Linked DNA regions of Sus scrofa. The protein of the gene in region 3 interacts with the protein of the main gene of each other region in a biochemical or structural test. Links are inferred from orthologs where the notes say so. Each region holds a gene or a part of one and is shown on either strand. Other genes may lie near its edges. The genes, in order: RALBP1, SEMA4C, DLG4, CRHR1, SIPA1L1, RPS6KA1 and CTNND2.

Region 1 (4,682 bases), on a different chromosome or scaffold from region 3:
CCGCTACAGCTGCTGAGAATGCCCCACACTTATAAGGGTGCAGGCTTGCTCTCATCAGGTCCAACTTTTCCTTGGCCTGAATTTCCTTTCCAGTGATCTCTGTCTCAGTCATGCCTAAACCTTCTTTAAGTTTAAGGACATCAAGTTCCTAATACAATGGCTACCACACAGCAAGAAGTTAAAACGGATTGAGCTGGCTAAGGCCTCTCCATCCTGTCTCAACAACTCCTGTTTGCTTCAAGATAAATTACTTTGCTTATCTACAGACTACTCCTAATTTGGTCTCTGCCTAAGTTCCCAGTTTCAGATCTTGCCACCACCCTGTACCCTTGCTATCTATACCTGCAGACCCTACGATTCACGGAAGTTGAGACTCCTGCAGTTTCTCCTACCTAAATGCCCATGCTTTCTGTGCCTGTACACCTACCGTTTTCATCCCCTCCAATATACACTTTTTCTTCCTAGTGCCCCCTTTCTCAATCTTTCCTTCTCCTCCCTTAAAAATAAAATGACCACTACCTCCTTTGTACACCCACTGTGGCCCATCCTTTCTCCAGTGAAAATGATCTTAAAAACACATTGGACTTGCAGACAGTTCAAATAAGAGATAAAGTCTTATCACACAGAAAGCAGGGACAGTACCTTATCTATCTCTAAGCCATCTTCACAGTACCTGCTACACAAAAATTCCTCTACACTAAGTGATCTGCAATTTCCCATATATTAACAAAAGTTTCTATCCCAGATTTCCTTTCAAGAAAGAACATACTTTGGGGTGACATTCTGGGCCCAATCTTTCCTTGCCAAGCAAACAACTGTATAAATCAAAGTTAATATGCACTTTCTAATACCACTTATATTTTTCTAAATTAAAAGAGAAGTGGTCCCTGGAGGATGTAAAATGAGAAATGCTATTTTGAAGAAAAGATCATAAATTATGTCACCTTGCTTCAAGATACTTTGTTTAAAGAATTACTTCTCAACAGTTACTGTCAAACGGGCTACTATGAAAAGTGGGAACCCTTCTACTAACTTCCTACCTCGACTACTCACCAATTCAGTTTACAGCAATTACGCATTCTCAGGAAAATACTCAGAAAGGAATTAATTAATCATCTAGAAAACTGGAAAGGCAAAAAGTGAAGTCACCTTTCTCATTCAGAGGTCCACTTATTCTTTTAGAAGTACTGCTGCCTCCAGGACCACCAAACCACAAGTGGGCCTGTCCCTTATGACTTCTTGAATATTCCGTGAATAACTGCCCAGTGGGACAGAATGTCACCCAAGGGCCGCAACCCTGGGACATGCACGCTCCGCTCAATAAAAAAAAAATCGGCGAAAGCTCTGCTAATGGGGCGAGTCGGTGTGTTAACTCAGTGTCCAAATGACTGTGCTTCTTTCAAAAGAATGTTCAAAATCCCTCGAATTAGTATTTTAATCACCTTCCAGAACTCCACCAGGCCCGAGACATGTTGCTTGCTCAAGAGGAAGGCTCTGGGTCATGAATCCCAGAACCTGAAGCAGCATAATGACTTCAGGTAAAGCAGAGGTGCGGGAATTTTGTAAAACCTGTTTCACTCTCACAACGACCAAGCGTGGGGGGTGGGGGGTATGCTGACCTCAATAAAGCCTTTAAGCACAAACCTAATAGACAAGGTTGTGAAAAGAATTTTCCCCTCGGATCGGTCCCGCGGAAGCCCCGGAGCTCTGCCGCTCCCGCGCTGGCGGTGGAAGACCGCGAGCCCCTCCCCGCCCACCTGGCAGCACTAGAGGCCGGTCACAGTTCCGCTGCGGTTACGTAAAGGGCCGAGTCCCCAAGCTCCATCCCCGCGCTCAGTGGCTGCCTGAGGCAGAGCCCCAAACCCACCCTCCTCCCCTAGACCCAAGAGCCCGGACACACCGCGGAGTCCCGATAGGCCAGCTGAAGAGCGGGAGAGACCGGCAGTGGGGGCGAAACGCGGAGGAACCCGCCGGGTCCAGCCCGCTAGGGCAGCCACGCCCCCGCCCCCGCCGCGCCGGCCAGGAGCCTGGCCCCGCTCCAGGCTGACATACGCCGCGACCCCCGCCCACCCACCGTTCGCCACTGACCTGCGCCCGCGCCGGGTGAGCGCCTGCCCTGCCGCAGCCGCCGCTTCCCGACTCTCACGCCGCCGCCGCCGCCGCCGCAACCACCTCCTTCGCTAAGCCCTGGGCCGGCCTCTGGCACCCCATTCCCACCCCGCCCCAGCCTCCGCCTGTTTACAATGATTGGGACAGAACCGGACGAGCCGGGCCAGCGCGCACGCGCACTCCTTCCCCGCCGCAGCCGGCTTCCCGGGTCCCCAGCTCGGCGCTGAAGGCCGGAGCCGTCGAGGGCCGGCGCCCTATGCCCCCAGCGTGGAGCACGCTGGGAGCGGTAGTCCACGGAAACCCATAGCCGAGGCTGTAGGCAGTCCTCCGCCAGGAAGCGCACTACAACACCCAGGAAGCACCACGCCTGCCCGGTCCCGGCGCCCGCTGGGGAGAGCTGGGAGCGCGCGAGAGGACGCGCCGGGCTCGAGTCCGCTGGCGCCTGCGCAGTTCCTGGTGGTGGCGGGCGACGCGCACCTTGCCCAAGCGAGGTCTGCGAGGATCGCTGGGGCGGTGCTGGCCGCGGACTGGAGGAGGGCAACGTGTTTCTTAGCTGCGGAAGCTCAGACCTTCCCGCCGGCGGGTTTCAGCCGTAACCAGTTAAACCGGCCCGGAGGCCGGCTCGGCCCGCTCTTGGGTGGGGCCTCCCCCCGCCCCGATTGGGCGCAGAGGCTTCGGCTTCCGTGGGGACTTTGGCTGCGGGTTGCGGCACAGGGAGCGCCGTGGCCTCCGCGGAGAAACTTGTGTAGACTCCGTGCCGGGACTGACCTCGGCATCCCTGAAATTAGTGTCCAGAAGGCAAACCCTCGGGTCTTGCGGTGCAACGGGGTCCCAGTTCCCACCGCCTTCTCTGGCTCGGCGTTTCCCGAGGAGCTCCTTAATTAGAACTGCCCATCGCACGGTTAGCTTGCCAACCAAAAGCATTGAATCTAGAAGAAGACCAAAATAACCGTACTTCCTCCAGAACGCCTTCACAAAAGCTGGAAGAATTGTGCTAATGCATGGCTGGAAACCAGGGGCCTTTAACTGTTACTGTTTCATAAAGTGTGGCGGTTTATTAGAGGAATGATAAAACCGGAATAGATGGCGCTTCCCGATCCTCACATTCCCACCTGCGATGCTCCTCTGAACTTCATTCCATGTTTAGATTGACCTCTCTAATCCATCTTGCCTTGCTCTTTACTCAAGGCTAACAGTAGGTCTCCCTCGTACTTTACATTTCCTTCTCAATAAAGTGCAGCCACCTTGTCTGACCTTCAAGAAGAGCCCACAATTAAAATACCAAGTTGGGAGTTCCCGTCGTGGCGCAGTGGTTAACAAATCCGACTAGGAACCATAAGGTTGCGGGTTCGGTCCCTGCCCTTGCTCAGTGGGTTAACGATCCGACGTTGCCGTGAGCTGCTGAGCTGCAGACGCGGCTGGGATTCCGGTTCCTGTGGCTCTGGTGTAGGCCGGTGGCTACAGCTCTGATTGGACCCCTAGCCTGGGAATCTCCATATGCCAGCAGGAGCGGCCCAAGAAATAGCAAAAAGACAAAAATAAATAAATAAATAAAATAAAAGCTTCTGTTTAAGTCTGGAGATACATGAATCTCCAGGACCCATGAAAACTTTTATCTGAAAAAGGAAAAATAAAAATAAAAATAAAATACCAAGTTGGTCTGTGCTTGCCATTGTTTTGACAGCTTTAAAATTTTCTTATTGCCTCACTGGCAACAGCACAGTGTCCTCACCACTGGGATCGATCGGCACGTTAACCAAGCCAGTTAGAATACTCTGCCTTTGGCAGCACCGACTGGGCCAAGGGATAGGACTGATCCAAGTTGGGCATTATTGACCCCTTGCTGGAAATTGTTATATGAACACAAAAAAGGGAGGGAAGATTGCATCTTACTGTAGCAACAGCTGACCGCCACCTTCTTCACAACAAAAAGAGGCCTTTGTGCAGCAGCAATGAATGAAGCCAAAAGGAGACTTGGAGTGCTAGTGGAGGAGGGAGGAAACAAACAGCTGACCGCATGGAGACTGTGTTTCAGTTTCAGAGGGCATGGCTAGCATACCTCTTTCTAAAGTGCTTTGAGTATGTGAACCTAGCCGAGAGAGCCAATGCAGCTATTTATTTATTATTATTTAGGGCTAATTTGTGTGGTTATGGAACATATTTGTTGGTTGCCTCCTGCAATTTATTCCTCCCATTTAAGCCACACAGCATAATTCTTCCTTTTGGTGGTGGAGGCTTTCAGAGATGGTCACCTAACTCAGTCAGAGCCGACGAGATCCACTGAGACTTGGGTTGGAGCTTCTAGTAAACTGCAGCATTCTTGCTCTTCTGGTATGGTGAAAGTTTATGCGGTCTGCAACTGTGGCAGCTGTTTTGCTCCTAAAGAGGAAAGCCTGGAGGGATAGGGTTTATTGGAGAGGCACCAGTACAGCCTGATGATGAAGTCAGTACTGTCAAACGTGCGCTGGGAGACCCTTGTGTTGCTGCACATTAGAGCTGCACTATCCCATCTCACCTGTTTGACCTGTCCTGTAGATGATCCTATAGACGTTAGAATTGTGAGCCATAAATTT
Region 2 (4,632 bases), on a different chromosome or scaffold from region 3:
ACAAATGTGCTTTACTGCCGCTTAGATAGACAGGGTCTAACTTGGACCACAAGTGGAGTATGTGTGTGTTTGTGTCACCCATCTTCTCCCTCCCTGCCACCCACCCCATGCTAATTAACTGGCTTGTCCCCTATCTCCAGCATCTCCAAGGCCACCAGCTGTTTTTCTGGTGGAGAGGAACTGGGAAATGTGGCTTTGGCCAGCACGGGAGAAGGGATCTTTATGTATACTAGCAAAGACCCAATTGTTACTGAATCCAAACTGGGCTGCTTTCCCCAATTATCTCCACTGGTCTTCTGGCCTCCACTTTTCAGATGCCAAGTTTTAACCCAGAACAAAAGCCCCTGTCCAGGACTGATTTATAATCCAAATCTGCTGACGGGGCCCTAAAGTGTCCCTCCCCTACAGGACTGCACAGGGCTTAATGTTACCAGGAAGCTTTTCTGCCTCCAGTCTCTTCACTTCTGCCCTTTGGCCCTAGACAGGAGGTGGCATCTGTCTTTGGGTCCCCATGAGGTGGCCTCCCTGGGGTTCCTCTGTCCACTTGTCCAGCTTGGAGGACCAGCTGGCAAAGACACCCTAGCACCACCCAGGAGACCAGAGCTACAAGTTACTTCTAGGAGCGGCTGTGGGCGGAGGCTGGCGGTTCTGAGAGTGGTAGTTCTCCAGCTGGCTCCCCTCAACCCCTTTCATCTGAACATCAGGGTTCATGTCACTTGTTATTCAGCCTTCCAGTGGCACCAGAGGAGTCATTTCCTGAGGGTAGGCTCTGTGCAACAGGAGCCGGGGTTTATCCTTGCCGGAGTCAGGCAAGGGGCGCTGAGTGGGACCCTTTGCCTGGAGCGTGAGAAACAACAGGCAGAAGCTCGAGGGAGGCTCGGGGGTCTTCCTGGCTGGTGAGGCCCGATCCAGTCTGATCCCAGGGGTCAGGCGTCAAGCCAAGAAACGATGCAGAATTGGGGGTCCAAATAAGACCACTCTGGGCCGCCCCGAAGAGAAGCCTCGGATACACGCCTCGAGGTGGCTCGCCTGCCTTCGTTCCTGTAACCATAGCGTAGGGAGCGCCTTAGCCCCATTCCCGATCCAGGTCGCCCAGCCCGAGCGGTTGGCCTTAGGGGACACTTCGGAAAGACCGGGTAAGTCCGATTCCCCTTGCCAGGGCCCGGAGTCCCTCCTCTGTCCCACCTCCCCGCGCGGTGGCGCAGATCATGACTACAAGGCGCTGGGCCGCAGGGCACCGGGAGGGGCGGGGGTCCGAGCCACCGGACGGGGAGCGGCGAGGCGTGCGGGTCGCGGCGGGTCACAGCCCCCCTCGGGGCGGGCCTTCGCGTCCCGCCCCCGGCCTCCGCCGACCCCCCCCACCCTGTTTGACGTCAGGGGGAGGGGACGGAGAGCGGCGGCAGCCGGGGAGAAAGAGCCGGCGCCCGCCGCGGTGGCGCGGGGAGCCCGAGCCCAGGGGCGCCGAGCCGAGCCGGGCCGAGGGGCGGTGGCAGCCGGGCAGCGGAGCAGGGCGGGCGGGCGCGCGCGGGCGGGCGGCGGCGCGCGGGCAGGGGCGGACCGTGGTCGGAGCCGAACGCGAGGGCGGCGCCCAGGGATTCCAGCCGCGAAGAAGAGGTGAGTGAGGCCGGGGTTGCCCGGGGCCGGGGCTAAGGGGCTCCGGCCCGCTGCTTTGTCCGCCGACTCGGGAGGGGGCGGCCTGCACGCGCGAGGGACAGGGTCTGGGGGCGCAGGGAGGGGCGGCGGCAGGGACAACTGTCCGCCCGAGTGCCTTCTTACGCCCCCCGCGGGCTGCCTCGCGGGGGCTCGTAAGCGGGGCAAGCTATTCCCTTCGCTACAGGGTCCGGAAGCGCGGACTGGTCATGGGGAGCGGGGGTCCCCCGTGCTGTCCGGTCCGAGGCCGGGATCTTCTCCAGGTCCCCGAACTGCCCCCGGCTTTGCCACCTCCGACGGAAAGTTTGGGGCGGGCTTGGACGGAGGCCGATGTTGTGGGATCGGATTTCCCTGCCGCGGCCCCCCAGCCTCCCGCCCGCTCCGCTCCGCTGGGGAGGCGGGCTGTCCTGGAAAGGCTGGAGCGCTCGCCTTGCAGCCGCGGGGGTGCCATCCACGGCCCGCCGCTCGGGGTGGGCAAGGGTCGGGGGCGCGAGGCCGGGATCCTGCACCCCTCCACCCCCGCACCGCAAGGCTGCCCGTTTCCCCCGCTCTGGGAGGAGCTGGGAGCAGGGGCACCACTGTGCGAGCAGAGCATCGGAGTGCGCCGCGGGGTCCGATTCGGGCCTGGGTAAGGGGCCGAGGGAGGGCTGGGGGTGTGTTGGGGGACTGGTTCAGGGGGTGAACGCATCCCAGGTCGCCCGCCCTTCCCGCGCTGGGGTACTGGGCCGACAGGGGGCGTCCATAGCCCGGGCACCGCCACGCTCCCAGCGCCGCCGCTTTGTTTGCATTCAAATCCCCGGAGCTGGGGGAGGGGAGAACGGGGTGAGGGGCGACCGGGGACCGAGTCTTGGCGGGGACCTTTTGTTTTTGGGTGAGCACATCCGTAGCTTCAGTGTCTCTGTGGCCAGCATTGCAGGGCTGGAGCAGTGGAAATTAATCCAGATGGCCTGCCCTGGCTGGGGTCCGGGGGGCGCAATCCCTGAGTTGGGAAGGTTCATCAGACGACGGGTAGCACAGCAGGCGCGCCGGCCCTACTCGAGGAGCCTCCCGCGGTCCGGGAGGAACCCCCGTGGCCCTATCCACCCGGTCTTCACCGCCCCCCCCCCGCCCCCGCCTGAAAGCGCCGCCGGGAGATCCCTGATGAGACCAGAGCTGGCTCTGTTGTCCCGTCGCCCCTCAGCCTGAGGGCTGGTGTCTTCTATCTAGGAGGCAGTGCGAGGAACAGGATGAGGCCCCGGTCATTTCCACGCCCATCCCACCCACTTCCTGCCTCCCTTCGTGGGCAACAAAGGGGCCTTGGGAAGCGGGGCCCCACCAGCTCCAGGCCCCACTTCAGCCCTGTGATGTGGAAAGGGGCTGGGGGCTCTGCCTGGCCATTGTCTGCGCTGGGGGAGGGGAGGGACTGGCGCCTGGACCCCCGCTTGCCCGAGGCACCGAGTCCTCCCTGGAGGGCCTTTCCCACCACCACCCCACTACACACTCATCCCCCTGCTAAGGGGTTTGTGCCTCAGAATAGGTCTTGGGGCTGGCTGGAGCCCGTGTAGGTACTGCTTCCAGAGGTTATTTTAAGAAATCCTTACAATCTGTCAGGCCTGGGTGGGGGAAGGGGGGGGTCCCCTTTTTATTTTCTTAAACAACTTCCTGTGGAGGAGTGGGGGAGGGCTAGGAGGCCGGCCTTTCTCCGGTGTCCACTCTTCCAGCTGACTCAGCTCACCCGTTCTCCTCAGGGAGACCCCATGGTCCTTTGAAGGCTGTGGTGGCTGAACCCAGGTGTGGGCGTGGGCTGGGTCTGTGCTCCAAGCTCTGGGGCAATGGAGGAGGAAGTCCTGGAGAGGCCTGATCAGATCTTCGGTCCAGTCAGTGCCTCCTGGCATGGCTTGTGTGGGCCCCCTTCGGTCTGTTTTCTCTGGCTGTGATTCTGACCCTTTCTTTTCCCCCAGCAGGGCAGCTGGCCTGGAGCTTAGAGGTGGGGCGTGTGCCATGGCCCCGCACTGGGCTTTCTGGCTGCTGGCAGTGGGGCTGTGGGGCCTGGGCATTGAGGCTGAGGTGTGGTGGAACCTGGTGCCCCGGAAGACGGTCTCTTCTGGGGGTGAGTGCCTGGAGGGTGGCACGCGGGGGGCCAGGAGGGACTGCAGGGGGAAGGGTGTGCTAAGGAATTGTTCTCTAGAATGTGTCAGATTTATTCTGCAGTTGGACTCAAGGCCTACTGATGTATGTGACACAGCTTTCTAAGAAATGAGAGAGGTGTCAGGGACCCAGAACTGGGAATCCAGGCCAGGCCCTGGGGTACCTCTCCTGACACTTAAGCTGCCCCTGTTATGCGAGAGAGAGCGCCCATCTTGCATCGCTCTCCCTGTGCCTCACTTCTAAAAGCATCACTAGCACTGAGAGCCAGGATAGGTATGAAACAGAGGGTGTCCCCCCACCCCCATCCTGCCCTCCGCACCAAAGTCTTTCTAACTCTCTGCCCCCAGGAGCCCTCTTAGCAACCCTGATAGATCTGCTCTGCTACTCTGACACTCAGGCTGTCTGGCGGCCCTGGATGCGCACACACCTGTATGCAGAGGTGATGTCAGGTGTTTGTATCATCCATGCACTCTGGGGACCTGGATGAGCTCACCTCCCACAGGCTCCTCTTGGTGCTAACGAAGCCCTCCCTGGCCAGCCTATGTCTGGCCCCATTGCTGGCTCTAAAGACTAAGGCTGGTTTAGGGGGACCCTGAGGACAGGTCGCTGGCTACTTGGGGGACTGACGTGGGAATCCGGTGAATGTTGCGATGTCCTGGTGCCCTGCATGGTGGGTGGCAGCAGGGCTTCCCAGCCCCGAGGGCCTCTGGTCCCCACCTCTGCTTTCCCCTGGCCTCCCAGCCTGATTCCATCTCCTGCCATCCCTCCTGGTCCATGGCTAGCTCTGCTTGGATCTCTAGCAGCCTGGATTTGGGTCTCACTAGAGGAAAAGATTTCCTAAGATAAGGAGCACCT
Region 3 (4,117 bases):
TCCGCAACTACTTCCAGCCGTGTCCCCTCCCCCTCCCTGCCCCTGCCCTGTGTGATATCCTCCATCTACAGCTCTGCCCCACCTTTCAATTTCCATCTTCCAACCCCAGCCTCCATTCCCCATGGCCTTCCCTGTCCTCACCCTCCCCTCCGGCCCCTTCCTTTATCAGTCTCCTGCTCTTGGCCTCCATCCTAATTTCTGGCTCCCTGACCTCATCCTCAAACCCTCAAGATTCTGTGTGCCCAAATCACACTTCTTCAACCCACTTTCCCTACCCTCTGAAAATTGAGGCTCCTCCCGGCCCCCCAGCTCAGGCCTTAGCCCTCCCACACGTATGACCTCCAGCAGGCTCTCCCTCCACTTCCTCTGTCTCCTGGGCCCAGATTCCACCTCTCCTTCGCGCTGTCCTGACTACCACCCTCTCTCCTCTCCCCCTTCCCCAGGGACTTAATGCCCCATCTTGGGAATACAGCATCTCTAGTCTTCCCTTCACTCCAGGCAGCCCCCAGAGTTTTACGGGAATACTCTGCACCATCTCCCCATCTCCAGGGCCTTCCTTTCCTTCCTCTCAGCCAGCTGAACCTTCTGCCCTGATTTCACCATCCCATCCCTGTCTCCTGGCGCAGGACGCCTGACCCTCTGTCATCCCTCCTCTTTGCTAAGTGCCAAAAAATGGTCTTTCCCTCCCTCTCCAATTCTTCTCCTTCTCACCCCAGAACCTCCTGCTGCCCCCTCCCTGCCTCCTCATCCCAGGCTCAGAAAAACCTCCGCCCCATCTTCTTGGTGACATGTCAACAACTTCCCACCTCCCAGGGCACCCCACAAGATCCCGTAATCTCACTCTGGACCCCACAGTGTTCCCCTGAATCTCACAGCTGGCCTGGCACACTCCACCCCTCCCCTCCAGCCTGTGCCCCCAGAAGAGGAGACTGAGGGGGAAGAAGATGGGAAGTGGTCCAGAACGGAAGGTCTCAGAAACAAGGCCTCCCGGGCCTGGAGAAGAGAAAACATCCAAGGAGCCCAGAAGAGAAGGGGAAACAGGTGGTGATGAATAGTAATGGGGGGGGGGGACCCAGGGGGCAGAGAAAGAAATCTGAGTGGAGGTGCGAGCCTGAGAGCAGGAGAGAGGAGAGGAGAGAAGCGGAGTAGGGAAGGGGTAACTGGGAGAGGGGGAGCCGGCTGGCCCGAGGCAGAGGACGGATGAGGCCGCAGAGGGCCTGAGCTGGGGACCAGGAGAGGGGGAAGGAGAGTGCGTGGGAGGAACAGAGAGACCGCATCCAGCACCAGCCAGCCAGCCAGCCAGCCAGCCAGCCAGCCAGCCAGCCAGCCGGTGGTGGGGAGGGAAAGGCAGCGAGGAGGGGAGGGAGCACAGGAGGGGTGCAAAGGCCAGAGCAGGGGAGAAAGGGCCCAGACTAGAAGTCTCAGGCCAGACAGATGGAAAGGGCTGGAGAGCCAGGCCCAGAGGCAGGATGTGGGGGGAGGAGGTGGCCAAGGGACAAGAGCGAATGAGGGCAGCAGGCACTCTGAGCAGAGCTCTGGACACAGAAAATGGAAACGGAGGTGGGGGGTGTGAAGGAATGAAGAGGGCCTGGGCCCAGGGAGGGTCCTGGGGGATGCACACATCTCAACACACGTACACGCAGACACACACACACACACACACACACACACACACACGCCCTGGGTGTAAACTACACCCACTCCCCCTTGCCTGGCCTCTGTTTCTCCTCTGTGGGAATCAGGTGTATCCAGAGCCCCAAATGTCCCCTCCCCCCATCCCCAGGAGCCCAACCCAAATCCCCCCCCAACGTCCCAGCCTCCCCCCACCTACGGCTCTCGCCCTACCGGCCCTTGGGGGTTGTTGTAGCTCCGAGGCTCCGGGGGCCGCACTGGGGAGGGGGCCGCCTGAGTCTCCTACCTTGAGGGGGGAGAAGTGGGCGTGGCCCACGACCCCTTGGACGGCCTCGAGGTGGGACAAGTTCCTCTCCGCCACGTGCACCAGCTCGGGGGCGTTTACCTGGTTGGGGAGGTGGGCCGGGCTGTGCTCCAGAGGGGGCGTGTCTTCATCTTGGTAGCGGTATTTCTGGGGATGGGGACGACGGAGGCGTCACGGGGGCCGGCCCAGCGCCTCGGGCCCCAGGCTGCCCGCCCCAGCGCGCCTCCGCTTCCCCCGCCAGTGCGGTGCGCCAGGCCCCGGGGCCTGACCAGCTCCTCCCCCTCCCTGTCCTCCAGCCCATTGGCTCCCCTCTCTCCACCCTCCCCACAGCCCCCTCTCCCGCCCGGGCCTGGGCACCTGCCGCTGCTTCCCAAACCCCAGCCTCATCCCGCAACTCCTCCAGCCCACAGCCTCGGACCCCGGCCTGCTACCCCACACGCTCGCTCCTCTGGGGTCCGTTGCTTTCCCCCTTTCCCAGAGCCCCAGCCCCTGCCACGTGCGCCCCCCCCCACCTCGTTCTCTCGCTCCATCCCCAGGGTCTCTGCTGCCCTCAGCAGCTTCACCCACGTCCTCTTTACCTTAATCCCACTCCCATATGTAACTCCCTCCTCCGTCCAGTGCCCCCCTCACCCCCCGCCCGGTCCATCCCACCCCACCCCGCCCTCCCTGCCTCCACCTCCCGCCTCTACCCCGGAAGTGAATGGCTCTCCAGCATCTCCCAGGCGGGAACCGCAGTCAAGCACTTGAACTAGCAGGTTCTCGGCCTCAGCCCCTCAGGCTAAACCCGTCCAGCTCTTCCTCCACTGGCCTCGCTGGTTCCCAAGCCGTCAGCGAAGGGGCCCCAGGAGTCTACCCCATCTCGCCAAATGCCCACAGCCCCGCCAGCTAATCGGATATACTAGAAGAAGAGGGGAGGGAGGGGGAGGAACAGAGGCAGAAGGGCACAGAAGGGGGGCAGGAATGGGTGCCAACTTCCAGGTTTGCTGACTGCGGAGCCCGGTAGAGCCTCAGAGCGAATTCCCGGTCTCCTTCCAGCTTTTTGGAGGGAGAGACCCAATCTGACTCCTGACTCCCTTCCTAAGTGACCACCTGCCATCTCAAGGGCCTCCTGTCCTAGCTTAACAGGGACACCCGTAAATGAGATTAACGGGGCCAGAGAGAGAGAGAGAGAGAGAGAGAGAGAGAGAGAGAGAGAGAGAGAGAGAGAGAGAGCAGCTGGAGACAACAGTAGAAGAGTAATGACAGGCAGCACCCCAGCCTGGGTCTTCCCAGGTCTGCCCCTGTCCCCACAGAAGCAAACCCTCCCCAACTCCAGGCTCCATGGAGGAGGGGAGGCTCCCTCAGAGACTGCAGAAGCCAGAATACACGCCCCGGTACTCATGGGTAAAAAGCAAAGGCAAGAGTTCCCTCTCACAGTATCTTAGACACTGAGAAGACCTCAACGTTCACAGAAGAACGGTTAACTAGATCAAACTGGAGGAAGCCGATCAAGGTCAATGCCTTGATCGGCTTCCTCCAATAGGTAGGATTCTGAAAATTCGGAGGAGGAACCAAGGCTGAGGCTGTAACCCAACTTCGGCCTTGGTTAGGATGAAGTCAGAGAAGAGGATGAGTTAGACGGTGTGACACAGAGACATGCTGGCATCCGGGAGCATCCTGATACATTTGAAGCGCCTTAAAGAAAGCAAGCAAGGGGCTCATCAAGATAGGCTCTGTTTACTGGCCTTGGAGAGAGACTTGACTTGGAGACAGACTTAGAAAGAGAATTCAGAACTCCAGGTTTCAATACCACAAGTGCAAGAAGTGAAGTTAGGGGGAAGCAGAAGCTTAAATTATCCCCCTCAAGGCTGGGCCATTTAGGAGCTCCCATTGTGGCTGAGCGGGTTACGAACCAGACTAGTATCCATAAGGACATGGGTTAGATCCCTGGCCTCATTCAGTGGGTTAAGGATCCAGTATTGCTGTGGCTGTGGCATAGACTGGCAGCCACAGCTCCAATTCGACCATGACCCCATGCTGCAGGTGTGGCCCTAAAAAGCCGAAAAAAGAAAAAGAAAAAGAAAAAAAAATCCTGGGCCATCTTGGATAACAGAATTCCAGGAATTGAAAGAAGTTCTTCCTTCCACACCCTGAAAATGTGGTCTTGAGCCTGGGCGTGCCCAGAGCTGGGGCGGGATGGGG
Region 4 (4,583 bases), about 35 Mb from region 3:
TTTTATTTTTCATTTTATTTTTTTTTCAGAGCTGCAGTTGCCAGCTTATGCCACAGCCAGATCCAACGCCAGATCCAAGCCACATCTGTGACATCTGATGCAGCTTGCAGTAACGCCGGATCTTTAACCCACTGAGTGAGACCAGGGATCAAACACGAATGCTTATGGATAGTAGCAGGGTTCTTAACCTACTGAGCCACAATGGGAACTCCTAGCTCTGTATTATTTGTCAAAGAAGTAATTTGGAATGGCCCAAACGTGCATGGATATAGGCATGGCAAAGAATATCCCCTCACAGGGAACAGAGATGTTGACAACCTCTCTCTGGAGGCTCAAGAATAACATAGGACAGACTTGGGCTGTGACAGTAATGGGAAGGCATTCCCAATGTCCACACCTGCACTTGAAAAAAGGCCTGCCGGGATTATTTTCAAAATGATAACAACAGCTGTTTTAGGAGGGTGAGATTGTAATAATTTCCCCCTCTGGTTTTCAAACTTTGTCTAATACTACTAGATTGCTTTCATGACAATAACAATAAAACCAGCTCTCTCCGCAGAACTCACTCTCCATTCATAGCCCCCTGCCTCCACACCTCACACTCACCCAAACCTGCCATTGTGAGCCACACTTGTGTCTCCCTGTGAGGAGCTGTGGCTGGTGGGCAGGTGACCCAGACAGCATTTCACCAGTATCCTCGGTGTCCACACAGACAGGCACACACACACGCATACCATCTCTCCCTCATTCACACAAACACACACACAAATCTCCCAGTCACCCACACACTCTTCCCCAATTCTCTGTAACCAGTACAGTGAGAGGCCTACACTAAGGGCCCCAGAGTGGATCTTTTCCCCATACTTGTGGAGGACATAGTCAGATTTTGGATGAATCCCACCTAGATTCAGACTTGCATTCTGACAAAACCACCCATGCTTTCTCTCATCTGGTACAAGTCTAGGATGAGATTTAAGCAGCTTAGAATATTTTATGGTAAAAGCTAACAAAAAAAGCCTTAGAGCCACAGTGCCTGGGTTTGAATTCTGGCTCCACCACTCACTGGCTGTATGACCTTGAACCAGGTACTTAGCCTCTCTGTGCCTCAATAATAATTCCTACTTCCCAGGGTTCTTATGAGGACTAAATGACTTAATATTTGCAAAGCAGGTAGAACAATGCTGAGAAAGTTATATATGCTACATAAATAAAAGGAAAAAGGTAATTATTTCATTGAAATCAGCATTAGCTGCCTCTCATTCACCATGGTATGTATTTATTGAGCACCTACTGAATTCATTAGGCGAGACTTAAAGAAACACACCTTACCACTTAGTAGGGAAAACACATACAATAACAGAAAAAAAATTTTCTTTTAGTAAAGCATCATAATTTTAAGCAGAGATTTGCATGTGATTCGAAGAAAGGTCAGAGAAAGAACATTTACCAATTACCATGTAAACTCAAAAACAAAAAAGTTCAATCTTTTGAATTATTTTAAAAGGTTGAATTGGGTCTAATTGATTTGCAGATTTAGGCCAAGTTTCAGTACACACTAGCCTTTTGGAAAATTTTACCATTCAATGCCATCTATTCTCTAGATGTTTTTATTCCTCCCTCCCTTCCTTGGTCTCCTTGATCACCCAGAAAATAATCTCTGGGTTCATCCCCAGTCCTCAGTTAATGGGTAGGGCCAGGATATGGGTTCAATTAGACCAATCCCCAGGCATTTTTAAAAATCAACTTATAAATATTCTAGAGAGGGAGGAAGAGGATGGAGAAAGCCTTAGTAACTGGTAACGTGTCAACTGATGACCTGGCAGCAGTTGCATTTTAAAATCTTGATGGTTTACCTCAAACCACTTTGTATGCTGATATACGTTCAGCTGGTTTAATAACTGATAGGAAAAAATGAAATTCAGTCAATCCGCGCCCCTCTACCAAATCCATTCAATTCTTAAATGCACTGAATCCAGTCAAGCTGGTGTCTGTTTTTCCACAGGCCGTCCACACTGACCCAGCGGTGTCCGGATCCTCAGGCTAGGGCCGCGCTGGACTCCCCCGCGGCAGCGCCGAGGCCCACCTACCCCTCGCTCTGGCTGCTGCTTCGAGCCTACACCTCGTAAGCGGAACCGCTTTGGGAATCGCTTGTCATGGGGAAGTAGCGGCTGGCACTAGCGGCGGGCCGAGCTGTCGACCCCCTAGCCTTTCCCTGGGCCCGCGGGCAGCCCCGGCCGCCCCCGAACTTCAGCGGACAGACGCTGGATGTGCGGTCTGGCGACTTTCCTAAACTCCGGGCGCCAGAATCGCGTCGCCAGAGCTCGGGCAGGAGGGAGCAGGCGCGGGGACCCGCGCGTGCAAAGGCTGGAAGAGCGAGCGTGGTGCTCCGGCGGGCGGGCCGGCGGCGGCGGCGGCGGCGGAACGGTAACTACCGCCGGATGCACGGTCTGCTCCCCGGAGATTGCGATCCAGGGCTCTCCGGCGCGGGGGGCATTTATCTCCCCGGACTTGCAGGGGCGGGAAAGAGCTCCCAGGGACAGGGCGGGGGGGGAGGGCGTGCAGAGTGGGGGAGTTGAAGAGAGGGTGCTGGGGCGGGTGGGAAACCCCTCTCCAGAGCCTCTCGTCCCGGAACCCTGGTCTACACAGGAAGGGTGGGTCGGTTCCCAACGCCTAGAGCGATTCCCGGCACAGAGCTGGTTACCCGGGTGGGCGTCCCCCCGCCTCCCGCAACGCCTACGGCCCGTCAGCTTCGCCACAATTTCTTTTTGCACCTGAGTTCTCCTCCCACCGCCCACCGCCCCCTCCAAAGGTCCTGGAAGAGGGAGTTGGGCTGCCCCTCAAACGCCGGCCGCCCCTGGACACAGTTCTTCTCAGTGACACCCAAGCCCTCGCATCACACCCACAACCCACCGAGCCCCGCGCCCCCAGAGCTGCTTGCGCTCGAAGGCTGACCAGCTCGCTCTTACCTTGACGAGCCGGAGCTGCGGGCGCCGTCCCATCCTCGGGCTCGCTCTACCGCCGTCCTGGATGCCTGGGTTCCCCGGACATCCCAGAGGGGCCGGCTGGCGGGTGCGGGCTCGGGCTGCGCGGGTTGGGCGGCCGGACTCCTGTGTCGCTGCAGGTCGCAGAGGTGCCCGGCTCCGCGGGCCCGCAGCCCAGTCCGGCGGGCTCTCGCTCTCCCCTTCCCAGGCAAGTCCGGCCGCCGCTTCCTGACTCAGCCTGGCCGGCAGCCGCCTCCTGCTCGCCGGGAGGCTGCCTCGCCCCCGCCGCCTCCCCCTCGGTCCGCGCCGCTACTCGTCTCGGCTCCCCACCCCCTCGCCTGGGCGTCCCCACCCCTCCCTTGGCTTCCCCTCCCCTCCCCTCCGGTCCCTCCTCCGCACCTCGCCCCTCTGCTCCCTCCGCCTCCTCGCCTCCCCAGTCCCCTCCCCTTCCCCGGGCCGCCTCCCCGCGCCCTCGCGGAGCTGACCCTCTTCCCCCAGCGCCCGGGTTTGCGGCAGTCGGCTGGGCGCGCTGGCAGCGCTGGTGGCCGCCGCAGCCCGGGGAGAGGCTGAGGGGCGGGGGGAGGCGGGAAAGGAGGCAACCTCCCGTCTCCTGCCCGACTTCAGGTTGGGGCCTGGGGAGTCCAAGGGCGTCCAGGGGGACTTGGGAGGCTCGGGTGAATCTCTTAAGAGCGAGGTTATCGGAGGACAGGGAATAGGGCAGCCCGAACAGAGCGGAGCCGCCGCGGAGACCGGGTGAGGCTGGGAACTGCGTTTGGACAATTCCCGCCCAAGCAGCCGGCCCGGAGAAGGTCCCCGCCGCCCCTGCCTCAGCAGGGCTGGGTTGTCGGGCTAGACCCCTCGCGCCTTTGGCACGGACACGCCAGGGGCGCGCTGAGGAGCGAAAGCTCTGAGGGAGGAATCCTTCTCATTCATTCATTCTTTTTCATTCTTTCGTTCGCTTATCTGTTCATTCAATCTACAGACTTAGAGCCTGCCCAGTTTGGTTTCGGCAAGGGGCTTCACCTGGGAACCCCAAGACAGGGGAGATGGCGGTGCCCTGACGCACTAGCCAGCATCTGAACGCCACTGAGGGGAAAATCGAGCGCGCACTGCGCTGCTGAGGGGAAAGAGCAAAGAATCCTACCCGCTGGGCGGGGAGAGGCCACAGCGCCCCCTCTCGGCCGAGCTCTCAGGGTAGGGGTAGCCTCCCTGCTAGAACTCCCAGTCTTCAGCCAGCTTGGCGGCTTAGCTCTCCCACCCGCCCCCAGCTCTGGGAAGCAGTTCTCGCCTCTGCCAAACCCCTTAAACGTTCCCCCCCAGCCCCTCCAGTTGTACAGAACTTTTGACATCTTCCATCTTTTCCTTCCTCCCGCCGAAGCTGAAAAGGAAGGTAGAGAAATGACTACTCCACAGAGCCTGGGCTTGCCATGCCAATGGCAGCCGCTCCAGAGAAGCTTCCAGAATGGTAGTCAGCCAGCTTTGCAATTAAACTCTGAACCTCACTGCCTTGCCCACCGCTTCCTCTCCTCCAGCCACTTCTCAGCACATTGAGCAAAAGCCAGTGTGTTCATGTGTCCAGCTGTTAACTTCACTTAGACGGGG
Region 5 (3,314 bases), on a different chromosome or scaffold from region 3:
ATTCCTCTCCCACTCTGGCTTCTAAAGTGGACCAGCTGGAAGGGATGCTGAAGATGCTTCGAGAAGATTTGAAGAAGGTAAACACATTCTCACAGCAGGCTGTCCGGTCCATGCCAAGTGCCCTTGAACTGTGAGAGCCCTTTATCAGTAGTGTTCCTGGAATAAGATGTGGGCATTTTCCCTCTTTTCTTGGTACCCACATGTTTAGGGGGCCGCTTGGAACTTGGTTCCCACTGCCACACAGTGCAAGAAGGCCTTCATTGTCCCGTGTACAGAAAAAGCATTCCCCTCTTTTCTGAGTACCTTCAAACCTCAGCCAGCCCACTCGGAGGCCTCTCCCCGCCTCCTCATCCCTGGGCCATGACCCAGCCCCACCTGTCCTTACTGTTATTTGGGCTTTTGCACAAGAGAATTTTTCTGTTAAGACAGCAGCCACCAGACCGTCATCTCCATGTAAGACAGCCCTTACCCCTTCTAATTTAACAAAGACATTAAACTACACAGTCCTGTATTTACAGTCCAAAATAAACCTCTAGTGGATCTCTCTAGCAGTCTTGTGCCCTGGGAGAGAGCATCTGAACGCCCAGTGCCAGCCACGGAGACAGCAGCGGCTGTTTAGTGGAAAGAAGGGGAAGTGGGCGAGGGGTGCACACGGATTCACAGCCACTCCCTCCAGCTGCTGGGCTGGGCTGGGCCACTCTCTTAAGTTCCTTTCCGCTCTGCCCACTCTTCCAGGAAAAAGAAGACAAAGCCCACCTCCAGGCGGAAGTTCAGCATCTGCGGGAGGACAACCTGAGGCTGCAGGAAGAGTCCCAGAATGCCTCCGACAAGCTCAAGAAGTTCACCGAGTGGGTCTTCAACACCATAGACATGAGCTAGGCCAGGAGGGGGGCCACCCGCCAGCGGAGGCCTCCTCAGCCCTCCCTCCCCAGCTCCCGACTCGCCCCCTTTCGGGGAGTGCACACCACGACAATTGCAGATCAACAATCATTATCTGCCTTTTGTAGAAAAGAGAAAGAAAATGGTAAATAAAAATTTTAAAAAGTAAAATAAAAGTTTAACTGCTAAAATGTGAATGTCTATTTTTTTGCACAATATCTTTATCTGTTATGTATTTAAAAAGAAACTGGGCCCAGGGCCAGGGCCTCCCCCTGGCCCATCTCCCTCTTTCCATCAGCTCTTTCTTATTTCAGGTACCCCGAGCTTTCCCTTGTTATTCTGACAAATGTCATTGTTCCTAGGAAAATAAAGTTTTCAACTGTTTATTTGGGGAGGGGGATTTCCTTACCTTCATTCCTACAATGCCTGGGGAGGGAGGTGCTTTTAGAAAATGCCTACCTCCCTTGAATGGCCTGTGCATGAGCCAGTGATGTTTGTCCCTGTCTCACAGAGATCAGCAGGATGGGTTACTTAAGGGTAGCAAATGAGTGAACCAGAGAGCAGCAGAGCTAGAGCCTGCAAGCCAAGCCGCGCCCCTTTTCCATCCTGCATTGTGACAGCACGACTTCCTCCTTCCTTCCTGGGGAGATGGTCCAGGGCTCTGTGCTCCTCGGCAATGGAGCCTTTTTACCTGGCTTAAGTAAGTCCCTCTAAATTGGAGTCAGCCTTTCTGTGTCTTCCTGCTTCCCAAAAGTAATCAGTTTCAGAATTCCTCCAACTTTTGACCAAAATGCATACAAATCATAGGTTTATTTTTTTGGAGATTTTTAAAGATAACCATGTGGCAAAATAGTATTTGTAGCGCTCTCAAAATGATTGTATTAATACATCCTTCTCTCCAAAGCAAGGCTTTACCAGTATTTGTAACTAGGAAAAGCAAACGTTAAATTGTAAACTTTAATATTTCCTTGTTCGGAGCAATGACTGTGATAGCAGAATGGGCTTTTGAGACCTGCATGTCCCAGTGTACAATTTCAGCCCAGCATTTTCTGCATCCTCGTGTGGCCGTCCACAGGATTCTGTGGCAGAAGTGACTGATGTGCTGTTTTTCTATCTAGTGATGCAGCTGCTTTGGGCCCCTGGCCATTGTTCTAAAGCTCTCAGTCCTGACAGCACAAGAGACACTAGGTCACCAGTGTTGAGAGACCCCAGGGGAGGCCCCGGTGGCCTTGTTTCTTGCCTTCACAATGGTCATTCAGTGACTACCTGTGCCCCTTTCAGTGGCAACTCTGGTCTAAGGGAACATTCAGCCGTCTAGCGGCCTCTGCTCGGACGTTCCCTGCTCCGAGTAATCTCAGCCCATTCCTCTCTCCATCCCTGAAAGAAAAGGGACGGCTGGCCCTCTCTTCTCCCCCACCTGCATCACCAGGCTTTTACGCTACAGCATCAGTCATGATTGTGGTTTAACCGTGGGATTTTTTTTTCTGGTGACATTTCTACCAGGGAAATGGGAAGATTTCCGAGTGCTTTGTGACGATCTCAATTGTCTGTCTCTTTCTCTGACTTGTATGAAGGAGATTGTACATTGCCTGATAGCTCTTTGTAAATGAGAACTAGCGCTAACATCCAAGCATTCTGAAGTCTTGCTTGTCCTTCTGAGTTTAGGTTTTATTTTTGTTTTACATTTTGTTTGGGGACTTGGGGCAAGCTATTTATTAGAGTTTTGCAACAGAGTTCTTGTTCAAAGCCTTTGAGGACTACTTGTAAAATTCAAACAATAAAATTCATTTTAAACGCTCTTTTAAAACGCTTTCGTATTCTTGCTTCAGCTTTTCTTATTTGAAAGACTACCCAGGAACTCATGGACTCTCCTGCTATCCCTGTTTTTCCATTGGATGCCTTAACACCCAAGATGATTCCTACAAGGTTATGCCTTTTAGACTTTTAATAAGCTTTCTCACTCTCTGGTCACATGTCCATAGAGAGTTCCTAATTTGCCTTCTCTGCTTATGATTTAATATTTGCAGAGCACTGTAGAATTAGTTCCCTCTTCATTATCCGTGTGTGGATCATCCTGAGACCAGCACATTTTTGGACTTCGCTACTGCCTCTCCCATCTCTCAGTGTTAGATGTCGTATGCCTAGGGCATACCAATGGCTGTTAATATTAGGGTGTGCAAAATATAATTAGAAAAGTTAATCTACTGAAAAAAGTCACAATGCATTCCAAAGCCAAATGGAACCAAATTTTTGAAATCTACCACGTCACTGTTCCTCTCCAGTGGTGCAGCTAATTGAGAGCTGCCAGTTGAGTTTCTTCCTTTTCTCTAGTTCAACAGTTTCTACAGATTTGAGAATTACAAGACAGTGTATGACCGAGTGCCGCAAGATGCTCTGATTAGCAAGCTAAGCAAGTCTGTACACCATGATTCTTA
Region 6 (3,884 bases), on a different chromosome or scaffold from region 3:
GCCCCTACCTCTCCTTTTAGATTCTGGATCCTCCATCCCAACCCCTGTGTCCATCTTCTAACTCTCCCATCCCTGGCAGTTGCCCTGGGCTGCTGGCAGCCTGCCAACATTGAGAATTGACCCTTCTGCCCCCAGGTTGTGCACAGGGACCTCAAGCCCAGCAACATCCTGTATGTTGACGAGTCTGGAAACCCTGAGTGCCTGCGTATCTGTGACTTTGGCTTTGCCAAGCAGCTGCGGGCTGAGAATGGGCTTCTCATGACACCTTGCTATACTGCCAACTTCGTGGCACCTGAGGTGAGTGGCCCAGCCCCCTCAGCTGCAAGAGCAAGGGGGCCTGGTACAGGAGGCCAGGGTCCCCTCCAGAGGCCCCATACCATCCAGGACTCTAGTCTCTGTGGCCTTGGCCCAGGTAGAATCAGCCCATGCCTGGGACCCTTGTCCTACCCTTTGGGGAGCAGCAAGCAAGCATATGGGGCCACTCGCCGCTGCCACTCGGACTGACGGCCCTCCCCTCTCTTCCTAACTGCCAGGTACTGAAGCGCCAGGGCTATGACGAGGGCTGCGACATCTGGAGCCTGGGCATCCTGCTCTACACCATGCTGGCGGGGTGAGCCTGGACCCCCTCCACCCCCTGCCCCTTCCTCCAGCCCTAGTGTGCAGGCTGGCAGGGCGCCTGTCTCAGGGAAGGCACCCAGCCCTGCCTTTGGGAGCACCCAGTCTGAAGTGGGAGACACAGTCCCCAGGGTGGAGGCCAGAGGCTAGACTCAGGTCGGGTGGACTTTTCTCCAGATATACTCCATTTGCCAACGGACCCAGTGACACACCGGAGGAAATCCTGACCCGGATCGGCAGTGGGAAGTTCACCCTCAGCGGGGGAAATTGGAACACGGTTTCGGATGCAGCCAAGGTGAGTGTGTGATGCCTGCAGCCTGCTCACTTAGGGGGTGGGGAGGCAGGGTCCCGTCCCAGGGCTTGCCAGCGTTTTCCTGAGCAGGTGACTCGCAGCTTCATTTCTCCAGGTGGAATGTCCCACAAATTTCTGTTGCTCTATTTTTCCAAGTGGAAGATTCCCAGGCAGGCTGCCCCCTACCTTGTTTGGACAATGTGGTGATCATTCACTGGCCCTTCCGGTGTTCTGGGCCTTAGAGGAGGGAACATCTTTGGTTTTTTGGAGTTGGGGTTTTTTTCTTTTTTCCTTTCTTTTGTTTTTTTGCTTTTTGGGGCCACACCTGCAGCATATGGAAATTCTCAGGCTAGGGGTCCAATTGGAGCTGCAGCTGCCGGCCTACACTACAGCCACAGCAAGGTGGGATCCGAGCTGCATCTGTGACCTGCGCCACAGCTCAGCAATGCCGGATCCTTAACCCACTGAGCAAGGCCAGGGATTGAACCCGTGTCCTCATGGATACTAAACGAGTTTGTAACCCACTGAGCCATCACAGGAACCCCAGGGAACATCCGAACTTTCAGTATTAGCATCAGGTTCCAGTGGTGGGAAGCTGTGTGTCAGACACGGGGCCGAGTCCTTGATGAATAGCGCCACCTCAGGTTAACCTTATGAGTCAGGTGTTTCTGTTATCCTGTTTCTCAGAGGGGAAATGGAGGCTCAGAGAGTTGAACTAACTTGCCTGGGAAATGCAGTTGATGAGCAGAAGAGTCAGATCTTGGGTTCAGGCAGGAGACGGCAGGAGATGTTTCCTGAGCCGTCGCCCCATCAGCCAGACGCAGCTGCCTGCTCCCCTGCCAACCCCTCCCGCCAATGCCCTCGTCTGCTCCTCCCTCAGGACCTAGTGTCCAAGATGCTGCACGTGGACCCCCACCAACGCCTCACAGCTAAGCAGGTCCTGCAGCACCCATGGATCACGCAGAAAGACAAGCTTCCCCAGAGCCAGCTGTCCCACCAGGACTTGCAGCTTGTAAAGGTACAGCCACCCCAGGTTGCCGGGCATCTCAGGGCCCGGGCCAGGGCCCATGGGCAAGGACTTGGGGTGGGAGAGCCGGGCAATGCCATGTCCGTCTGTCCTCAGGGAGCCCCTGTCAGGGCTGTCAGCAGTGCACGCACAGCCCCTCAGTCCTCTGGGGGGCACAGCCCCTCGCCCTCTGAAACCTCCAGTCCGATGGAGGAGGCAGGACTGATGACTCTGAAGAACCACCAAGGCTGGATTAACAGGGGACAGAGTGGGCTGTGGAACACTGAGAGAGGCTGGCCTGGCCCCCGGCGCACGTGTCCCCGTCCCACCTGTGTCGCCCACCATGGTGAACTGACATCCCACCTTCCCTCCCAGGGCGCCATGGCAGCTACATACTCTGCGCTCAACAGCTCCAAGCCCACCCCTCAGCTGAAGCCCATTGAGTCATCTATCCTGGCCCAGCGGCGGGTGAGGAAGCTGCCATCCACCACCCTGTGAGGGGCCAGAGCATCAGGCGCCGGGCGGTGCTAGCTCGATGGAGGCAGCATACTTCCCAGAGGGAGCAGGCCTGAGTCACAGGGCCAAAGGGAGCGGAGCCCGAGGGGCCCAGGAAGCAGCCAGCCCCGATCACCCCAGTGAGGGTGTGAGAAGTGCCTTCTCCTTCCCCAGGATGGACTCTTCTCAGCTCAGGCTCTGCTGCTGGTTGAAATCAATCCACTGTACAGACTCATCTTTTTTTAAGGAAAAATGGCATCAACCACCATGGATTTTTACAGAATCCACTTGACTTTTCTGGGAGCAGAAGTAGCCAGTGCGGCCCCAGGAGGGGAACTGAGTCACACTATGGCTCTCTGTGGCTGAGACTCCTTACAGCAGCTTTGGGGTCACCCCAAGGGGTTCCCCACGATTGGCTGTCTGTAGCCAGCTGTGCCCACCTCCGAGGCAGCCAGCATCACCTTCCAGAGCCGCTGGCTGTTTCGCAGAACTTGCTCTGTCCCCAACAGCTCCTTTTCTGTTCTGTTCTGTTCCGGGGTCTGGAACCACTTTCTGCTAGAGGAGAGGACCAAGGCCCCGTGGCTCCCAGCTCCAGGCACCAGCATCCACCCGGGCCCCTCCAGTGGGTCCCCTGCAATCAGGTTGGGCAGCCCCTGGAGGAGCATCCGGAAAGCACTTTTTGGCTGACTTCTGCTGGAGTCTGCCACAGGACAGAGTTCACAGGAGGCCTGTGGGGCGGGCCCAGAGAGGCAGGGGCTTTTTTCATTTCTTCCTCAGCTGGTAACTCAGGGCTTATCTGTCCATGGCCTTTCTAATAAAATTACAGTTGAGTTGAAGCATGTTCGCCTCTGCTTTTCACCCCTGGGTTTGTCCTCCCTCTGTTGCTGGGTGTTGAGGACTTTGGCAGTGACAAGTAGTCGGCCAGGGCCAATTAGCCCAGCTGCTTGGAGCTCTGTTGGGGAGCATGTGGGAGTCCCGCTGGCTCTGCCCACACATTCCTGCAAGGTCTTGATAACAGTAATGAGATTATTACCCACCGGTGACCAAGTGCCAGGCACAGTGAAGTAGATGCTTTATGATTATGATTTTATTTATTTTTGGCCACACCCACACCAAGTGGAAGTTTGGGGCCAGGGCTTGAGCCCACGCCATAGCTGCAATCTCAGCCACGGCAGTGACAATGCCGAATCCTTAACCCACTGTGCCACCAGGGAAGTCCCAATTTATATATTTTAAAAGATCAATCTGACGAATGTGTAGCGAACTGATGGGGGGAGAGGGCAGGCAGGAAGCAGGTGACCAGGTTGGTGGCTACAGAAGAGATAAGGTTGCCTGGCCCAGGGTGGTGGGAGTGGAGATGGGGAGGAAGTAGACAAGGTCGGGAAGGGTTCTGGAGGTGATGTTAGATAGCACCTGCTGTCACTTTGGATGTAGAGGCTAAGAGACAGAGGAGATTCATGGATAGCTTCTAGATTT
Region 7 (4,117 bases), on a different chromosome or scaffold from region 3:
GCCCTTTGCTCCCCTCTTCAGGCTGAGAAAACAATAATTTCTGGAACTACATTGCCAAGGCCACGGTACAGAGCACTCCCCAGCAGGGTGGCCTCTCTGTCCTTGAGACTGTTTGTCATAAACGTTTACACCACACTTTCCTGTCAGAACGATGGGGAAAGTCAGAAATGAATGGGAAATTTGACTGAAATACATTGCCCTCCCCCAGCTCCCATGAAAGCTTACATTTTTAGTGTGGCATCATTGCTTGTGACATCTAGCCCTACACTGAAAGAGAACTAGAACCCCCTCCCTGTGTAACTCCAGAAACTTCCACCTACCTCAAAAGCCTGGAGGTGGCCTTTTATACGTCTTATCTCCGTAATTCTTTTTAAAAATTTTTTATTATAGTGTAGTTGATTTACAATGTTGTGCCAATTTATGCTGTACAGCAAAGTGACTCAGTCATACATATATATACACACACAGACACATTCTTTTTTCATGTACTATTTTCCATGATGGTCTGTCCCAGGAGACTGGATATGGTTCCCTGTGCTGGACAGTAGGACCTCACTGCTTATCCATTCTAAATGTAACAGTTTGCATCTGCTAACCTCAAACTCCCGGTCCATCCCACTCCCTTCCCCTTCCCCCATGGCAACCACACATCTGTTCTCTGTGTCCATAATTCTTGAACAGATAAAGAGTAGCAAGTTTGGAATGCGCAAGGATGGTGGCTTTTTAAAATCTCTAATTGTGAAAAAGTAATCAGTGTTAGGAACATGGAAATAGAATAGATTGAAAGGCTCCCAGAATGGGAAGCAGCACCGGTTCCGGATGTCAGCGTCCCAGCCGTGCAGCCAGGCCCTGCCTGGTGGTCCCCAGGCGGGGCACATCCAAGACATCTAACAAACACTCATTGGCGTGATTTGATTTTTCCAGGAGTGTCATCCTGGTTTACTGGAGCCTCGGACCACTGTGTGAGAGGTCTCAGGAGATAATTACACACTTGATGTGGTTAATAAACCCCACCATCTGTGCCATATTAGATTCCACTTTTAAAAGCTTTGATCAAGAGGCTCCAAAATGTCATCTCTTCGTGATTGCCTGGCAGTGACTCATAAAAGGCCAGCCTTTAGGCGCAAGACCTGGGAGCGGAGGAGCAAGGGAAGGCGGGGATTGTCCCAGGAGAGGAGGATAGAGAGAGGAGGGCAGAGACAGAGACGGAGGGGGCGAGCGAGACGCAGCAGCGGCTGTTCTGGGAAGGTGCAGGAACTGAACCCAGAACCCAGTTGAGTTACGCGGAATAGTTGTGGTTTCCTCCATCTCTTCCCATTGGATTTATACCCTGGTCCATGAGGGTTTCAAGTATCACTATATTTGCAAGTATTCCAGGTAATTGATTCTGATGGGCAGCCAGGATTGGAATGGAAGCCTCTGAGGGTTTCAAGAATAGAGCAGTGAGCCCCGATTTTACTTGACAGGTCTGAGAGGTGGGCAGGGGGCCCTTCAGGAAAGGATGGGCAGAGGCCCCCTCTGTTATCTTATCAGCACTTGGCAGTGACTTCTGCAGGGTGGTCTGTAAGTCACAAGCTCTTCAAGTTTAGAAAGTGTGCTGTGACTTGTGCGTTTGCTCCCGGTGTCTGACACGGGGCTCTGCACGTGGATGATACTAAGTCTGCTGTGATGAATCAAGTGACTCAGACAGGGGATATGCAGGCCAAGGGGCTGGAGCTAGGGACCCTACAGAGGGTGTGAATAGCCAGCTGACAGGTAAACTGAGGCTTGACTGGCAAGGGGCTTGGACATTAGTGAAGGAAAGAGAGCTTTATCCCAACATCACAGTTCCCCAGAGATACCCTGGCCTTAATAATCACCAAGTATGCGCACTAAATACAGATTTCTAGGTCTATCCACTGAAAATTGTGATTCCAAAGGTCTGGGTTGGTGTTTTAGAATCCCCAAGTTTTCAGGCGAGTCCCAAGTTTATGAAGCAGTGCCCTCGGGCTTGGAAGCCGGGGAGAGCTCTGGAGCAGAAGAGCACTGTGCCTGAGCTGGATGCATTTGACTAAGTTTGGGATGTGGGTGGCCTCATCGAGGAGCACGGAGACCAGTAAAGGCCAGCCTGTGGGATGGGCACATGATGGCTGCCTCAGTGCAGGCATACACACCTAACTCAGCTTCTCCCAACACATCCTGCACTGGCAGGGCTGCTTAGTTGCCCCCCATCCATCCTTATTTTCAAAAAACAAAACCTCTTTTTGTTTGCACCCCTAAGTCCAAGTTCAGCTATTCCTTTGTTCTGGGACCAGCGTGTTAAAGAATAGTGGAATTTCCAGGGGATTCCTCTAACTACAACCCAGCATTTTAGAAATGAAGACACAAAGGGTTGACAGGGCTCAGTCCCCAGGTCTGACAGGCAGCAAGTGGCCAGCGTGCGAGGTGTGCATGAGAGGTTGTTGGGAACATCTGAGATGGAACAGGGATGCCCCTCACGAGAGAAACCTCTCCCTGTGCCATGCCTCCAACCCAGCCCGAGGCACGATGGGGAAACCTTGGTGGGTGGGGATGTGTTGGCCCTGCAAATTATCCTCTATGGACAGGTGCTTCCTCTGCCTTCCTTTAGGGCAATTCTGCATGACTTAGTGGTTAAGTAGTAAAACTGAGTCTGTTTTGTTGTTGTTGTTGTTGTTGTTGTTTGTTTTGTCTTTTTTGCCATTTCTAGGGCCGCTCCCGTGGCATATGGAGATTCCCAGGCTAGGGGTCTAATGGGAGCTGTAGCTGCCAGCCTACACCAGAGCCACAGCAACGAGGGATCCTAACCGCATCTGAAACCTACACCACAGCTCACGGCAAAGCCAGATCGTTAACCCACTGAGCAAGGGCAGGGATTGAACCCGCAACCTCATGGTTCCTAGTCGGATTCACTAACCACCGAGCCACAACAGGAACTCCAAATTGAGTCTGTTTTAATCAGAGATTTTGCTCTATCAGTAAAAGCTCCTCTGAAACACACCTGATTGTTTAAAAAGAAGGAAGAAGAAAGGAAGGGAGGGAGGAAAAGGTAAGAAAAAGAGAAGACAAAGAAAAAGAAACCAAAATGGATCTCATTCTTAAGACTGTCCTTACACCTTGAGCAGGTCAATTCCCCGTGAAGATGTCTTTCTAGAGAAGAAGGACCCAAGAATTAACCCTTAATTCCCTGCCTCCAAGTCGTGTGTCCCCTTAACTATAAATCACCAAGTGACATGGAGTCAGGGAAGGGAAGGGGGCGAAGACAGGGACCCAAAGAACAACAGCAACAACAAAAATGACAGGTGCACATATGCAGACTGACCTATGTTGAGCCCATACACTTTTTACTTTGCATATTGAAAAGCTGTGCATGCTGTGCAGTAAGATGCAGAAACTCATCCTTTCAATTTCTTTATGTAGCAAGTGCCCCAGCTTCACCTCGGGAAATGATCAGCCTCAAAGAAAGGAAAACAGACTACGAGTCCACTGGCAGCAATGCCACCTATCATGGAACTAAAGGAGAACACACGTCCCGAAAGGACACCATGACAGGTGAGCTCCACTGAGTGCAGTTCTCCCTCGGAGCCAGTGACATGAGGGGACAGGGTGGAGGGCTGGGACATCTGGCCGTGCTTGTGGCTTGGCAAGATTGAGCAGCCAGCAAGTCCTGGAGACCTTGGCAGATTCCCAGGGATTGGCAATGAGGAGATTAGGCCAGAAGTATAACGATGGAGCATCTGGGAGTTCCCATTATGACTCAGTGGTAATGAACCCAACTAGTATCCATGAAGATGTGGGTTCTATCCCTGGCCTCACTCAGTGTGTTAAGGATCTGGCATTGCTGTGAGCTGTATGTCACAGATGCGGCTCAGATCCCATGTTGCTGTGACTGTGGCATAGGCCGGCAGTTGCTGCTCCAATTTGACCCCTAGCCTGGGAACCTCCATATGCTATGGTGTGGCCCTAAAAAGACAACAACAACAAAAACAAAAACAAAAAAGATGGAGCATCTGGAGCTCCCGCTGAGGTACAGTGGGTTGGTGATTTGGCTTTTCTCTGTGGAGGTGCAGGTTTGATCCCCGGCCTGGCGCAGTGGGTTGTGGATCCAGCATTGCTCCAG

The links.
Region 1: the proteins of DLG4 (region 3) and RALBP1 interact in a biophysical measurement, tested with the Homo sapiens proteins (2 studies listed by IntAct, with this or other methods). The link is inferred for Sus scrofa from reciprocal best matches to the Homo sapiens genes DLG4 and RALBP1.
Region 2: the proteins of DLG4 (region 3) and SEMA4C form a complex in vitro, tested with the Homo sapiens proteins (2 studies listed by BioGRID and IntAct, with this or other methods). The link is inferred for Sus scrofa from reciprocal best matches to the Homo sapiens genes DLG4 and SEMA4C.
Region 4: the proteins of DLG4 (region 3) and CRHR1 form a complex in vitro, tested with the Homo sapiens proteins (2 studies listed by BioGRID and IntAct, with this or other methods). The link is inferred for Sus scrofa from reciprocal best matches to the Homo sapiens genes DLG4 and CRHR1.
Region 5: the proteins of DLG4 (region 3) and SIPA1L1 form a complex in vitro, tested with the Homo sapiens proteins (2 studies listed by BioGRID and IntAct, with this or other methods). The link is inferred for Sus scrofa from reciprocal best matches to the Homo sapiens genes DLG4 and SIPA1L1.
Region 6: the proteins of DLG4 (region 3) and RPS6KA1 interact in a test that uses a peptide from one of them, tested with the Homo sapiens proteins (2 studies listed by BioGRID and IntAct). The link is inferred for Sus scrofa from reciprocal best matches to the Homo sapiens genes DLG4 and RPS6KA1.
Region 7: the proteins of DLG4 (region 3) and CTNND2 interact in a test that uses a peptide from one of them, tested with the Homo sapiens proteins (2 studies listed by IntAct, with this or other methods). The link is inferred for Sus scrofa from reciprocal best matches to the Homo sapiens genes DLG4 and CTNND2.

The regions. Positions count from the first base shown.
Region 1 is NC_010448.4:98,595,941-98,600,622, forward strand, and holds the start of RALBP1 (ralA-binding protein 1), read right to left. Parts: upstream 3,006-4,682; 5' UTR 2,089-3,005; intron 1,990-2,088; exon of another isoform or gene 1,901-1,989; intron 1-1,900. UniProt on the Homo sapiens protein: Multifunctional protein that functions as a downstream effector of RALA and RALB. As a GTPase-activating protein/GAP can inactivate CDC42 and RAC1 by stimulating their GTPase activity.
Region 2 is NC_010445.4:56,750,039-56,754,670, forward strand, and holds the start of SEMA4C (semaphorin-4C), read left to right. Parts: upstream 1-1,620; 5' UTR 1,621-1,859; coding exon 1,860-2,278; intron 2,279-3,590; coding exon 3,591-3,739; intron 3,740-4,632.
Region 3 is NC_010454.4:52,563,677-52,567,793, forward strand, and holds part of DLG4 (disks large homolog 4), read right to left. Parts: intron 2,780-4,117; exon of another isoform or gene 2,626-2,779; intron 2,084-2,625; coding exon 1,919-2,083; intron 1-1,918. UniProt on the Homo sapiens protein: Postsynaptic scaffolding protein that plays a critical role in synaptogenesis and synaptic plasticity by providing a platform for the postsynaptic clustering of crucial synaptic proteins.
Region 4 is NC_010454.4:17,303,007-17,307,589, forward strand, and holds the start of CRHR1 (corticotropin-releasing factor receptor 1), read right to left. Parts: upstream 3,303-4,583; 5' UTR 3,000-3,302; coding exon 2,967-2,999; intron 1-2,966.
Region 5 is NC_010449.5:95,166,043-95,169,356, forward strand, and holds the end of SIPA1L1 (signal-induced proliferation-associated 1-like protein 1), read left to right. Parts: coding exon 1-77; exon of another isoform or gene 78-156; intron 157-735; coding exon 736-879; 3' UTR 880-2,686; downstream 2,687-3,314.
Region 6 is NC_010448.4:83,943,946-83,947,829, forward strand, and holds the end of RPS6KA1 (ribosomal protein S6 kinase alpha-1), read left to right. Parts: intron 1-135; coding exon 136-297; intron 298-533; coding exon 534-610; intron 611-792; coding exon 793-910; intron 911-1,787; coding exon 1,788-1,925; intron 1,926-2,288; coding exon 2,289-2,411; 3' UTR 2,412-3,244; downstream 3,245-3,884. UniProt on the Homo sapiens protein: Serine/threonine-protein kinase that acts downstream of ERK (MAPK1/ERK2 and MAPK3/ERK1) signaling and mediates mitogenic and stress-induced activation of the transcription factors CREB1, ETV1/ER81 and NR4A1/NUR77, regulates translation through RPS6 and EIF4B phosphorylation, and mediates cellular proliferation, survival, and differentiation by modulating mTOR signaling and repressing pro-apoptotic function of BAD and DAPK1.
Region 7 is NC_010458.4:524,452-528,568, reverse strand, and holds part of CTNND2 (catenin delta-2), read left to right. Parts: intron 1-3,417; coding exon 3,418-3,549; intron 3,550-4,117. UniProt on the Homo sapiens protein: Has a critical role in neuronal development, particularly in the formation and/or maintenance of dendritic spines and synapses. Involved in the regulation of Wnt signaling.